3 linked regions of the Macaca fascicularis genome follow. The protein of the gene in region 1 interacts with the protein of each later gene in a biochemical or structural test. Links are inferred from orthologs where the notes say so. Each region holds a gene or a part of one and is shown in the gene's direction. Other genes may lie near its edges. The genes, in order: GIPC1, LRP2 and RGS19.

Region 1 (3,109 bases):
AGCCTCGCAAGGCCTTCGGTGAGGAGCCGCCCCCTGCACCTCCCCAATGGCGCTGCTCACACGGGCGCAGGCGGTGGTGCCGGGAGCGGCCAGCAGGTGGCGCCCGAGCCTGGGCAGCCGAAAGGGAAGTGGGTGCAGCTCCTCCCGGTCCCGAGACGAGGTGCTGGTCCTTGGCCCAGCCGGAGAGAAGGGCGGGGGCAAGGAGGAAGGTGTCCTCACCCCTGGCCAGCCCCCACCCCTAACAGGTCAGACTTGGCCGCTCAGTACCAGCCCCCCCACTTTTCCATCTGGCTTCACTAACTCTAAGGAATGGGCCCCAGGCCCCTGAGATGGGGGTGGGGGACTGAATCACTTCCCCGGGCAGGTAGGGCTGGTCTGTGGCCCGGGAGCCATACCCCCTTGGCCAAGAGGAGACGGACTCAGGCAGCTGGAGACTCAGGCTGGGGTACACCCGCTTCCTGTCCCAGCCCCTGGGAGCAGAAGTGGCCCCTCCAGTCTCCCCTCTAGCATTTCCTATTCCTGGCCCCCAGCTGTCCCCCCTGCTCTGCCCCACATCCATGCCAGGCCTGAGTCAGGATTCCTGCCCTGGCCCCAGCCCCCAGGAACTTGCAGAAGCTTGGAGAAGTTTGGGGTGGTGTCGAAAGCCAGGAGGGCCAAGTTCCTGCCCAGAGCGTGCTAAAACCGAGCTTCCCCCACACGCACCCCTCTCCTACCTCCCACAGACATGATCAGCCAACGCTCAGCGGGTGGCCGCCCTGGCTCTGGCCCACAACTGGGCACTGGCCGAGGGACCCTGCGGCTCCGATCCCGGGGCCCTGCCACGGTGGAGGATCTGGTGAGTGCTCCAGCTGGACCCTATCTCCAGCATTCCTTCCCTTTCTTTTTTTTGAGACAGAGTCTCACTGTTGTCACCCAGGCTGGAGTATAGTAGCTCGATCTCGGCTCACTGCAACCTCAGCCTCACAGGTTCAAGCAATTCTCCTGCCTCAGCCTCCCAAGTAGCTGGGACTACAGGCGCCCGCCACCATGCCCGGCTGATTTTTGTATTTTTAGTAGAGACGGGGTTTCACCATGTTGGCCAGGCTGGTCTCGAACTCCTGGCCTCAGGTGATCCAGCCTCCTTGGCCTCCCAAAGTGCTGGGATTATAGGCGTGAGCCACCACCCCCAGCCCTCACTTCCTTTTCATAGTAGGCAGCATCATCTGTTAGCTGAGGGGACTCTGGGCAGACAGCCTGGATTCTAGTCCACTTCTGCCACTTCCCAGCTCCCAGGGACCTTCCTTGGGCACGTGGGCCTCAGTTTGCCCATCAGTAAAATGGGGATGAGATGAACACCGATACCTTCTTCTCAGGGTTGTCCTGAGGTCTAAATAGGAATATATGTAAAGTGGTGACAAGGGCGGTCAGTCCAATTACAATGTATATTCACATTGTTATGATGTCGCTGTCACCCCTCCTGGCCCCCAGCCCTCCGCCTTTGAAGAGAAGGCCATTGAGAAGGTGGATGACCTGCTGGAGAGTTACATGGGTATCAGGGACACGGAGTTGGGTAAGTGAGGGCTGCCTGCGGGGGCGTGGGGGGCGGCATCTAGGTCTGGTGCTGGCTGAATCCACCCTGAGTCCCTTGGTCCCTGGTGTCATTTGTGCCTCCATTCTGCCCCCTCCGCCAATAGCGGCCACCATGGTGGAGCTGGGAAAGGACAAAAGGAACCCGGATGAGCTGGCCGAGGCCCTGGACGAACGGCTGGGTGACTTTGCCTTCCCTGACGAATTCGTCTTTGACGTCTGGGGCGCCATCGGGGACGCCAAGGTCGGCCGCTACTAGGACTCCCCCCGGACCCTGCGATGATGACCCGGGCCCAACCTGGTGGGGGCCCCCAGCAGGGACACTGACATCAGGACTCAAGCCTCCAGCCTGAGCCTAGCTCAGCAGCCCAAGGATGATGGGGAGGGGAGGTGGGGCCGGGCCCCCTGCCCCGCTCCAATCGGTACCATCCCCTCCCCGGTTCCCAATCTGTCCGGGGTCCCCGGCCCCCCTGTGCCCTGTTCCCCACCTACCTCAGCCGGGTCAGGCACGGGGAAGGGAGGGATCGGCCAAATTGGGCGGCCACCCCCGCCTCCACCACTTTCCACCATCAGCTGCCAAACTGGTCCCTCCGTCTCCCTGGGGCCTTGGGTTCTGCTCGGGGGTCATGACCTTCCTAGTTTCCTGACGCAGGGAATATAGGGGAGAGGGTTGTCCCTCCCCCCAGCAAATGCAATAATGCCCTCGCCCCTCCTGAGAGGAGCCCCCGCCCCGTGGAGCCTGTTACCTCCGCATTTGACATGAGTCTGCTGTGAACCCCCCAACCTCCTCCCCAACTCCCATCTCCCCCCTCCAGGCCTATCCCTGGCCCAGAGCAGGAGGGAGGGAGGGACGATGGCGGTGGGCTTTTGTATCTGAATTTGCTGTCTTGAACATAAAGAATCTATCTGCTGTTGGACCTGCGTGGCTTCGGGGTGGGAGAGGGGGAGGGTCGGGGCTGAGAAAGAATTCAGCAGCTGAAATCCATCTTCCGCAGGCTCCAAATTGAATTAGGAGCTGGCACCAGGCCGCCTGCCCCCTCCCACTGTTCCTTCTGGCTGCAGGCCACCAGGCTTCCAGGCAGAGCCAGAGCTTCCTGGACTACTGAGGGTTCAAATCCTGCCCCCTCTCCCACAAGGCCTCCCGCCCCCTGGAGCTTCACAAGGCTGCCGTCTGCAGCCGGTGACAACCCCTGGACTGGGGGGAGTACCAGGGCATTGAAACTTGGCTTGGAAATAGATGGAACCTCAGGCCTGCCAGAGCCCCACCCCTACACCGGGAAGTTGGGGGCAGACACGATGCAGCCCCCACCCCACGCGGCCCAATGCTGGACATGCAGGCGTCCATGGGGCACCCTGCTTACTAAACCCGGCATACTTGTTTTGACAACCCACTCATCTTCAAGGATTGAGGGTGATCAGGGAAAGGCGGGGTGGGACCTTGGCCAGACCTGGAGACAAGGGAAGGGATTGAAGCAAGGGGTGCTGGGCCACAGGGCCCCACAGGAATGTTTGGGGGTGAGCCGAGAGGCTGTGGGGAAGTCTG
Region 2 (3,647 bases), on another chromosome or scaffold:
TTACATGAGGCTTAAAGGGAAATGGACTTTTGTTATGGTCACTTTTAGAAGGCCCATGGGATGAACACACCTACATTAGTTAGAAAGACTAAGGAAAAACTTCATGTTAACCTTAAGCACAAAGAGCATTTGATAACATCAATAACAACCTGAGATGCTGCTGGTGCTCCCTCTTTGCTACTTTTATCATATTGGGGTAGAAGTTGTCCTATGAAAATGTATATTTAGAGTGTTTCAAGTTGGTATTGAGCATTTAGAGCTTCAGGTAGAAAAGGGGGGACATTCTGGAAAATATACCTTTCAGTAGAAAGTGGGTTATGATGTTGCTATGAATTCTAATGTACTTTAGAAGCTGAAGATAGGCACATTCTCTCTAAGTTTGAAGACGCAATCTCTGTAATTCCTAGGAGTAAGAATTTAGTTTTCAAAGCCTAGACTGGGACATTTATTTATCATCTTGGAAAAGACAACATATAGTGACCCAAACTTCAACCTTATACATTTTGTTCTGAATTTGGAAAGTTCTCCCTTTTTTTCTTCTTGGTTCTCCATTGATCAGCATGCACTTTCATTTTCCCATAGGAAATCTTTATTTCACCAATGCCTTTGTTTCTGAAACACTGATAGAAGTTCTGCGGATCAATACTACTTACCGCCGTGTTCTTCTTAAAGTCACAGTGGACATGCCTAGGCATATCGTTGTAGATCCCAAGAACAGATACCTCTTCTGGGCTGACTATGGGCAGAGACCAAAGATTGAGCGTTCTTTCCTTGACTGTACCAATCGAACTGTGCTTGTGTCCGAGGGCATTGTCACCCCACGGGGCTTGGCAGTGGACCGAAGCGATGGCTACGTTTATTGGGTTGATGATTCTTTAGATATAATTGCAAGGATTCGTATCAATGGAGAGAACTCTGAGGTGATTCGTTACGGCAGTCGTTACCCAACTCCTTATGGCATCACTGTTTTTGGAAATTCTATCATATGGGTAGATAGGAATTTGAAAAAAATCTTCCAAGCCAGCAAGGAACCAGAGAACACAGACCCACCCACAGTGATAAGAGACAATATCAACTGGCTAAGAGATGTGACCATCTTTGACAAGCAAGTCCAACCCCAGTCACCAGCAGAGGTCAACAACAACCCTTGCTTGGAAAATAATGGTGGGTGCTCTCATCTCTGCTTTGCTCTGCCTGGATTGTACACCCCGAAATGTGACTGTGCCTTTGGGACCCTAGAAAGTGATGGCAAGAATTGTGCCATTTCAACAGAAAATTTCCTCATCTTTGCTTTGTCTAATTCCTTGAGAAGCTTACACTTGGACCCTGAAAACCATAGCCCACCTTTCCAAACAATAAATGTGGAAAGAACTGTCATGTCTCTAGACTATGACAGTGTAAGTGATAGAATCTACTTCACACAAAATTTAGCCTCTGGAGTTGGACAGATTTCCTATGTCAGCCTGTCTTCAGGGATCCATACTCCAACTGTCATTGCTTCAGGTAAGTGCACTCCAGGTGCTGCTTATCCTGCAAGTAGACACAATGGGGTCAACACACATGGATGACTGAGTGTTTCCAATGCATATGAGACTCTAATGTCTTTGTGTGTGCTTGTGTGTGTGTCTGCCGGTATGTGTCCAGGTATAGGGACTGCTGATGGCATTGCCTTTGATTGGATTACTAGAAGAATTTATTACAGTGACTACCTCAACCAGACGATTAATTCCATGGCTGAAGATGGGTCTAACCGCACTGTGATAGCCCGCGTTCCAAAACCAAGAGCAATTGTGTTAGATCCCTGCCAAGGGTATGCCATCATCTTTGTTATATTTCTGTCTGCTTATTTCTGGAAAGAGTGGGGCCTGAAATTGTGTTCATAGATAGCCAGTGTGTTATGGGCTTATAACACCATGGCTACAGATCCAAGGGTGAAAGCATATTGAATGATTTTACCTGGGAAGGAGGGTGCAGCGTGTAGCTCCCTTTGATGGCAGAAAGGTTGGCAACATACTAGGAAGTCAACACCCTGACTCAATAGATCCCTTTTGGATGAGTTGTGTAAGTAGAAATGGAGTTTCTTTTGCCATGTTACTGGCAATTTGCAATTAAAGAATGTTGTCCTTTTTTTCTTTCTTTTCTTTTTCTTTTTTTTCTTAAGGACTATGAGGTTCCCTGTGAATTAATTATTGACTCCTTTTGTACGACTAGGTACCTGTACTGGGCTGATTGGGATATGCATGCCAAAATCGAGAGAGCCACATTGGGAGGAAACTTCCGGGTACCCATTGTGAACAGCAGCCTGGTCATGCCCAGTGGGCTGACTCTGGACTATGAGGAGGACCTTCTGTACTGGGTGGACGCTAGTCTGTAGGTGTCTCTGGTTACTCATGTGGGTGTTAAGAAGAGTTTTTCCTCCCATTTCCAAAGAAGAGGGATTTGCATCATGTGATGAAAAGATAATATGCCAGATAGACATTGCCAAAATATAGAATCACAGTTTTAGGAACTATGTTTATATTGTAACTTGGTGAACATACCTGTGAAAATTTATCTATATCATGCATTGAATAATTATGAACTAAAAGACATCTGAAGGTGCATTGCTAAATATATCTGTAATTTCAGCTATAATTATAAATGTATTTTCTCAATTTAGAATTACAAATGAAATTACTCAACTTACATTCTGCAGGCCCTAGGTAACTGCCATAAAATCTGAATGACTTTTAAATGCCCATTGATATTAAGATTTTTTCTGGGCTTTAGCATTCAATGTCTTTTAGAAAAGTATTTTCTTTATTCTTTGACTTTTGGTCATCTTTTCAAATAGACCCTTTCTTCTCTGGCAAGCTTCTCCTCAGCACATTTCTTAATATTTTCCTTTTGTCAACTCTAATTTTGTATGTAACTTCTCCAAGTACCCCCCATGTGTCTCACATTCCAGTCATCCTAATGGAATAGTTGAAGGGATGAAATGATTTTGTTTATTATAGCTGGTGTCTACATACTAGGAATCTTACATTTTCCTTGCATATTTCTTTGGAATTTTAGTCTTGTGATGCCAAGCTCCTAACCTCCTGATCTTTTGTTTATTCTCCTATTTGAAACAAAGCAGTGATACTTTGGGTCTAAGCTTGGATTATTCTAGGTAAATGCTTCAAGGTACTCAATAAATGTCAAATCGAAAAAGTCACTAAGGAAGTGGGATGGAAAAGTTATTGTTTTATTGAGAATCTGCTATGTGCTCAACACTGAGTTCCATGCATTACATGGATTATTTCATGTTTTCCTGTTTCTAATGTCAACCCGGTTCCTTTTTCAGGATTACTATTCATATTTGGAAGTCAATGATTTTATAAAGTCTATTGTTTGATAAGCAAACAAGACCTCCCATCTCCAGAAGAAACATTTCTAGCTGCCATATGCCCCACTTGAAAAGAAAGTTGGGGGCTTGTGTAAACAATCATGAGGCACATGTATTGGGTTGCCAGTTGAAAACTTAACTCATTTGAGATTTCAACTTCTTAATTTTTTTTTTTTTTTTTTTTGCTTCATTTTAGGCAGAAGATTGAACGCAGCACTCTGACGGGCATGGATCGTGAAGTCATTGTCAATGCAGCCGTTCATGCTTTCGGCTTGACTCT
Region 3 (4,138 bases), on another chromosome or scaffold:
TCCCTGTGGACTTCCTGGCCCCTGCCTTTGCTTGCCTGGCCTGATAACATGGCAGTCACAGGGTTCTGCAGTCAAGTCGGCCAGACCTCTGGGTACAGCTGCGAGAGGCAGTCTGTCCTCCAGGGCCCTCTGACCTCTGACCTCTGACCTCCCCCTTCAGGCCCTCACCCCCCTCGGCAGTGCAACACCCTCCCCTCTCAGCCCTCCCGCCTCTCACTCAGGCCTTCCCTGCCTGCTCCCCACAACTCACTCTATGCCCCTAGCATCAGATCCAGGCCCATCTATGTTGCTGGCTTCTGGTCCCACTGCCTGGCCCACAGGGGCACCCAGATACTGATACTTGTCCATTGAATGAGGAACACAAGTAAAATCTCCCTTTCCACCCCTCAGAGTTCTGTGAAGGTGTAAGGTGTGCACCTGACCTGTGCAATTGGAAGGCATTTGATGAACAGGACCCCGACATTGGGAGCTATCCGGGTCGAGTGCTTGTGCTGGGTAGGACGGGAGCTGCACACAGCTGGGCCCGGGGAGGGCGGGGGGCACAGATGCTCTGCAGACACTTCCGGAGCAGGGTCAGGGCCACCGACACTGGGCCAAAGCATGCTGCGATGAGAAGCCTGGCCCACATCTGTACCGAGTCATAAAGGATGAGAAGAGTCAGCCAAAGGGGACAGTGTGGCTTTAAGCCGTAAGACATCTTGGGACACACGGGTCAGCAGGGACTCTGCCAGGCCCCGCAGGAGACATTCGACATGACTCCGGGTGCACGAACCCGCACCCCCAGTTCTCCCCAGCCCCGCAGCACAGGAATCTCCCCCTTCCTTGGGAACCCCCCACAGCACGACAGGCTCTTAACCCAGTTTTACAGACGAAGCTCACGGAGGCGAGGGGTGGGCCGGGCTGGCGTGCCCGCCGATCGGTCCTTTCCAGCAGCCGCCTCTTTCCCAAGCAGGGCAAGCAGCATATGGGGCCCCGCTCTCCTGCCTCCACACTGGAGTGTCGTGCAAGTCCCACACGAACAGCAAGGCAGGAACGGCCCCGCCGAGCAGAGTCGGGGGCCACGGCCACACCCCCATCTACTACCGTGCAGCTCCGTCGGCCCGGGGGCCAGGGCTCCACTACGAGCACCTCAACCCTCCGGGCCACCCCCAAGCGACTGTGGGGGCCGAGCGCGGGCGGGGCGGGTGGGGTGTGGAGCCGGCCGAGCGCGGGGCGGGGCGGGGCGCGGCGGGCGGGGCGGGCCCGGCGCCTCCCGGCGCGAGGAAGTCCCGGCCCCTGGCTTTGGGGAAGTGCTGCCGAGGCGCCTGCGCACTGCGCCCCCGCGCCCCCTCCCCGACTGTCGGGCCGGACCTTGGAGCGCGCGGGCCGGCGGCGGCGCGAGTGGCTCGGGAGCGCGGCTGGTGAGTGCGCGCGCGCCGCGCCGGGGACAGCGGCCCTGCCCCTCCCGGCCCGGGCCCGGGGACCGTGCGGGGCGGGAGCTTCGGGAGCCGGCGCACGGGACTCGAACCCCAAGGACTCCCGCCGCCAGGTCCACGTGGACCCTGGGCCGCAGTGGAACTGGAGCCCGCCCCCCGCGCTTGGGGGAGGGGGCGCTGCAGCCGGGTTCCCCTTTTTGTGGAGCTCAAAGCCTGGGGAAGTGATTGCTTAAAGGTGGGGGCCGGAAGAACCCAGGTTTCCGCGTCTCCCTCCCCCCCGCCAGCCCGGTGAGGAGGGGCCGGGGCGGGACACCCTGTCCGCCCCCGCCCCCACCCCGCTGGATCTGGCAGCCACTCAGCCCTTCGAGCTGTAGGGGAGGCGCTGCGCCCCCGGCCCCAGCCGATCGGGGGCTCCTGGCGCTAGCCTCCCTCCAGAGCGCCGCAGGAGTCCCTCCTGCCGTCTGACTTGAGTCCCTGCTGCTGCAGTGCACGCCCCTTCGGCAGCCAGGGTGGGGCCCAGACCCAACCTGGCCCCTCCTGCCCCCACCCTGCCTTTGGGTCGCTGGTGAGTAGGGAGCATTGAGGTAGGGGTGGGGGCGTCAGAGGCTGGAGAAAGAGGCACCTGGAGGAGGACACAGGCTCCTCCAGGCGGGACCCTAACAGCAGCCAGAGGAGCGTGGTGGGTGGGTCACCACCACCATTTCAGAGGTGGGGAGAGCTGGCCTTCCTTGGAGGGGCCAGGCCAGGGCTCATCCACCAGCCAGATGTGGAGGGTGGCAGATGGGAAAGGCCCTGGGTGGGCGCTAAGAACTGAGAATGGAGCCCCTCTTCAACCCCTCCCAAAGGTTATGACATTTTTTTCTGGGATTGTCACATTTTCTTATTCTTTTTTTGGACTGGGCAGGCTCTGGGACGTTCTTTTTCCTTCTGTGGAGCAAAGCAGCAGCCACTCCCAAGGGAGCCTCTATCCCCAGAGACCAGACGTGCCGCCTGTCCAGACTCTCCCATCCCAGACTTGGGGGCCAAAGCCTGGGAGGCTGGGGAAGGGGGGTCCCCAATCCCAGGATGACAAGCAGGAGGACCCTAGTTGAGACTCTGTATCCTCCAGGAGAGAAGGGGGTGTAGCCTGGGGACATGGGTTGCCCCAGCTGACCTGAGAAGGGTACAGGAAGCCCAGTCCAGGGACAGGTGACCCGGTCCAGGGCCTGAAGCTGGGAAAGAAGGGGCTGGCTCCCTCCTCTGCAGCAAATGCAGCCCCTAGCACCCCGGCCTGGCACCCCTAAACATGTCCCCTCCTCCAGTTCAGAGCTGGGGTGGACATGGTAGCCCAGGAGGGACAGTCTCCGGGGTGCTAGAGTGTGGGGGAGGACCCTGGGTGGGGGCAGAGAGGAGGAAGAACTGCTGCCTGGGGAAGTCACAGACAGCCCCGTCTGGGCACAGCTACCAAACCTCAGGTTGCCACGCCCCTTCCTTTCCCTAGAAACTTGACCCCTGAAAGCAAGCCCAGCTGCGGGGCCACCTTCTGTCTCCTCATCTACTTGCTAGGAACCTGTGGGACCCACAGTCTCAGAGGAAGCTGGGCAGGCGGTGAGGGGCCGAGGTCCCGGGGGATGCTGCACCTGCCCCAGACTTGGGCCAGGGCAGTGGCCTCTGCATGCCCAGGCCTCAGGGGTATTGGGGGCCCTGAGAGTGCAGAACTCCAGCACTGTCTCCTCTGAGCGCCATTCACACACCGTCCCAGAAGGCCAAGAGAGACCAACCAGACAGAAACAAGCATTCAAAGGCCACAAGCTAAGGGAGGCGTGGCGGGGGGGATGAAGATTGAGAAAATAAAGTAGAACCAAGTTGTGAGCTTCCTGGCCAGGGAGGAGGGTGGTGGACATGCATGGAGGCCCAGAGGGCAGAGGTGGGCGCAGGTGTTCACAACTGCCTCCGGGGCACTGATTGGCCCCCCTGTGCCATTGCCCAAGGAGACCTGGGGTTCAAAGTGGTATCTTAGGTGGCACGAGGGCCACCCACAGCTTTGGCGCTCCTGGTGCACCTCCCCTGCCGATGGTGCAACCAAACGCTGGGAGGTACACGCACCACACCACACCCCTCAGGGACTCTGAGGCTTTGACTGGGGAGGAGGGTGCCTCCACCCACTGCCACCCCCACTTCCCTGGCTGGCGCACTGTGTGGTACGGCCTTGGTTCCACAGCGGTTTCACAGCCTAGAGGCAGTGGGCAAGGAGGGAGGGAAGTCTTGGGAGGGAGGTAGCAGGACCAAAGAACCATGTTTGGGGGGCACGTCCCTCCTCACCAGGGCCCTGCCCCCCTCCCCACACCCTCAGAGAGTCCAGCCCTGAGTCCCACTTAAAACCTCACTGCGGCAGGTCTAACCTGCTGCCCCTGGCTGAGACCTCTGGGACCCGCAGACAGACCTGGACTCTTGGTGGGAGCTGCTCTGCCCACTCCCCACCCCAGACGCCCTAGAAGCAAGTCTGGCCACCACCCGCACGCACAGTTGGTAGCCCCAGACTCTTGGGGCCCCTTTGGGAGGGGCTGGGAGCCGGAAACCGAGAAAGAGGAACCCAGGCTTCCGGCTTCCCAGGGAGTGAGCGGATGGGGGTGTCTCGGAACCTTCTGTGGGGGCCTCATCTGGGGCCCAGCCTGGGAGGAGGGGCCAGAAGTTGCTGCAGCCCCCTCCTCAATGACCCTAGACCCCCTCCCAGCCCTGCTGTA

What was found.
Region 2: the proteins of GIPC1 (region 1) and LRP2 form a complex in vitro, tested with the Homo sapiens proteins (2 studies listed by BioGRID). The link is inferred for Macaca fascicularis from reciprocal best matches to the Homo sapiens genes GIPC1 and LRP2.
Region 3: the proteins of GIPC1 (region 1) and RGS19 form a complex in vitro, tested with the Homo sapiens proteins (2 studies listed by BioGRID). The link is inferred for Macaca fascicularis from reciprocal best matches to the Homo sapiens genes GIPC1 and RGS19.

What each region holds. Positions count from the first base shown.
Region 1 is NC_088393.1:14,912,137-14,915,245, reverse strand, and holds the end of GIPC1 (PDZ domain-containing protein GIPC1), read left to right. Parts: coding exon 1-18; intron 19-722; coding exon 723-835; intron 836-1,467; coding exon 1,468-1,549; intron 1,550-1,673; coding exon 1,674-1,825; 3' UTR 1,826-2,480; downstream 2,481-3,109. UniProt on the Homo sapiens protein: May be involved in G protein-linked signaling.
Region 2 is NC_088386.1:64,772,759-64,776,405, reverse strand, and holds part of LRP2 (low-density lipoprotein receptor-related protein 2), read left to right. Parts: intron 1-582; coding exon 583-1,503; intron 1,504-1,644; coding exon 1,645-1,810; intron 1,811-2,211; coding exon 2,212-2,370; intron 2,371-3,563; coding exon 3,564-3,647. UniProt on the Homo sapiens protein: Multiligand endocytic receptor. Acts together with CUBN to mediate endocytosis of high-density lipoproteins. Mediates receptor-mediated uptake of polybasic drugs such as aprotinin, aminoglycosides and polymyxin B.
Region 3 is NC_088384.1:120,217,760-120,221,897, reverse strand, and holds the start of RGS19 (regulator of G-protein signaling 19), read left to right. Parts: upstream 1-1,334; 5' UTR 1,335-1,400; exon of another isoform or gene 1,401-1,980; intron 1,981-3,997; exon of another isoform or gene 3,998-4,135; intron 4,136-4,138. Other genes in the region: protein LKAAEAR1, read left to right, coding at 391-408. UniProt on the Homo sapiens protein: Inhibits signal transduction by increasing the GTPase activity of G protein alpha subunits thereby driving them into their inactive GDP-bound form. Binds to G-alpha subfamily 1 members, with the order G(i)a3 > G(i)a1 > G(o)a >> G(z)a/G(i)a2.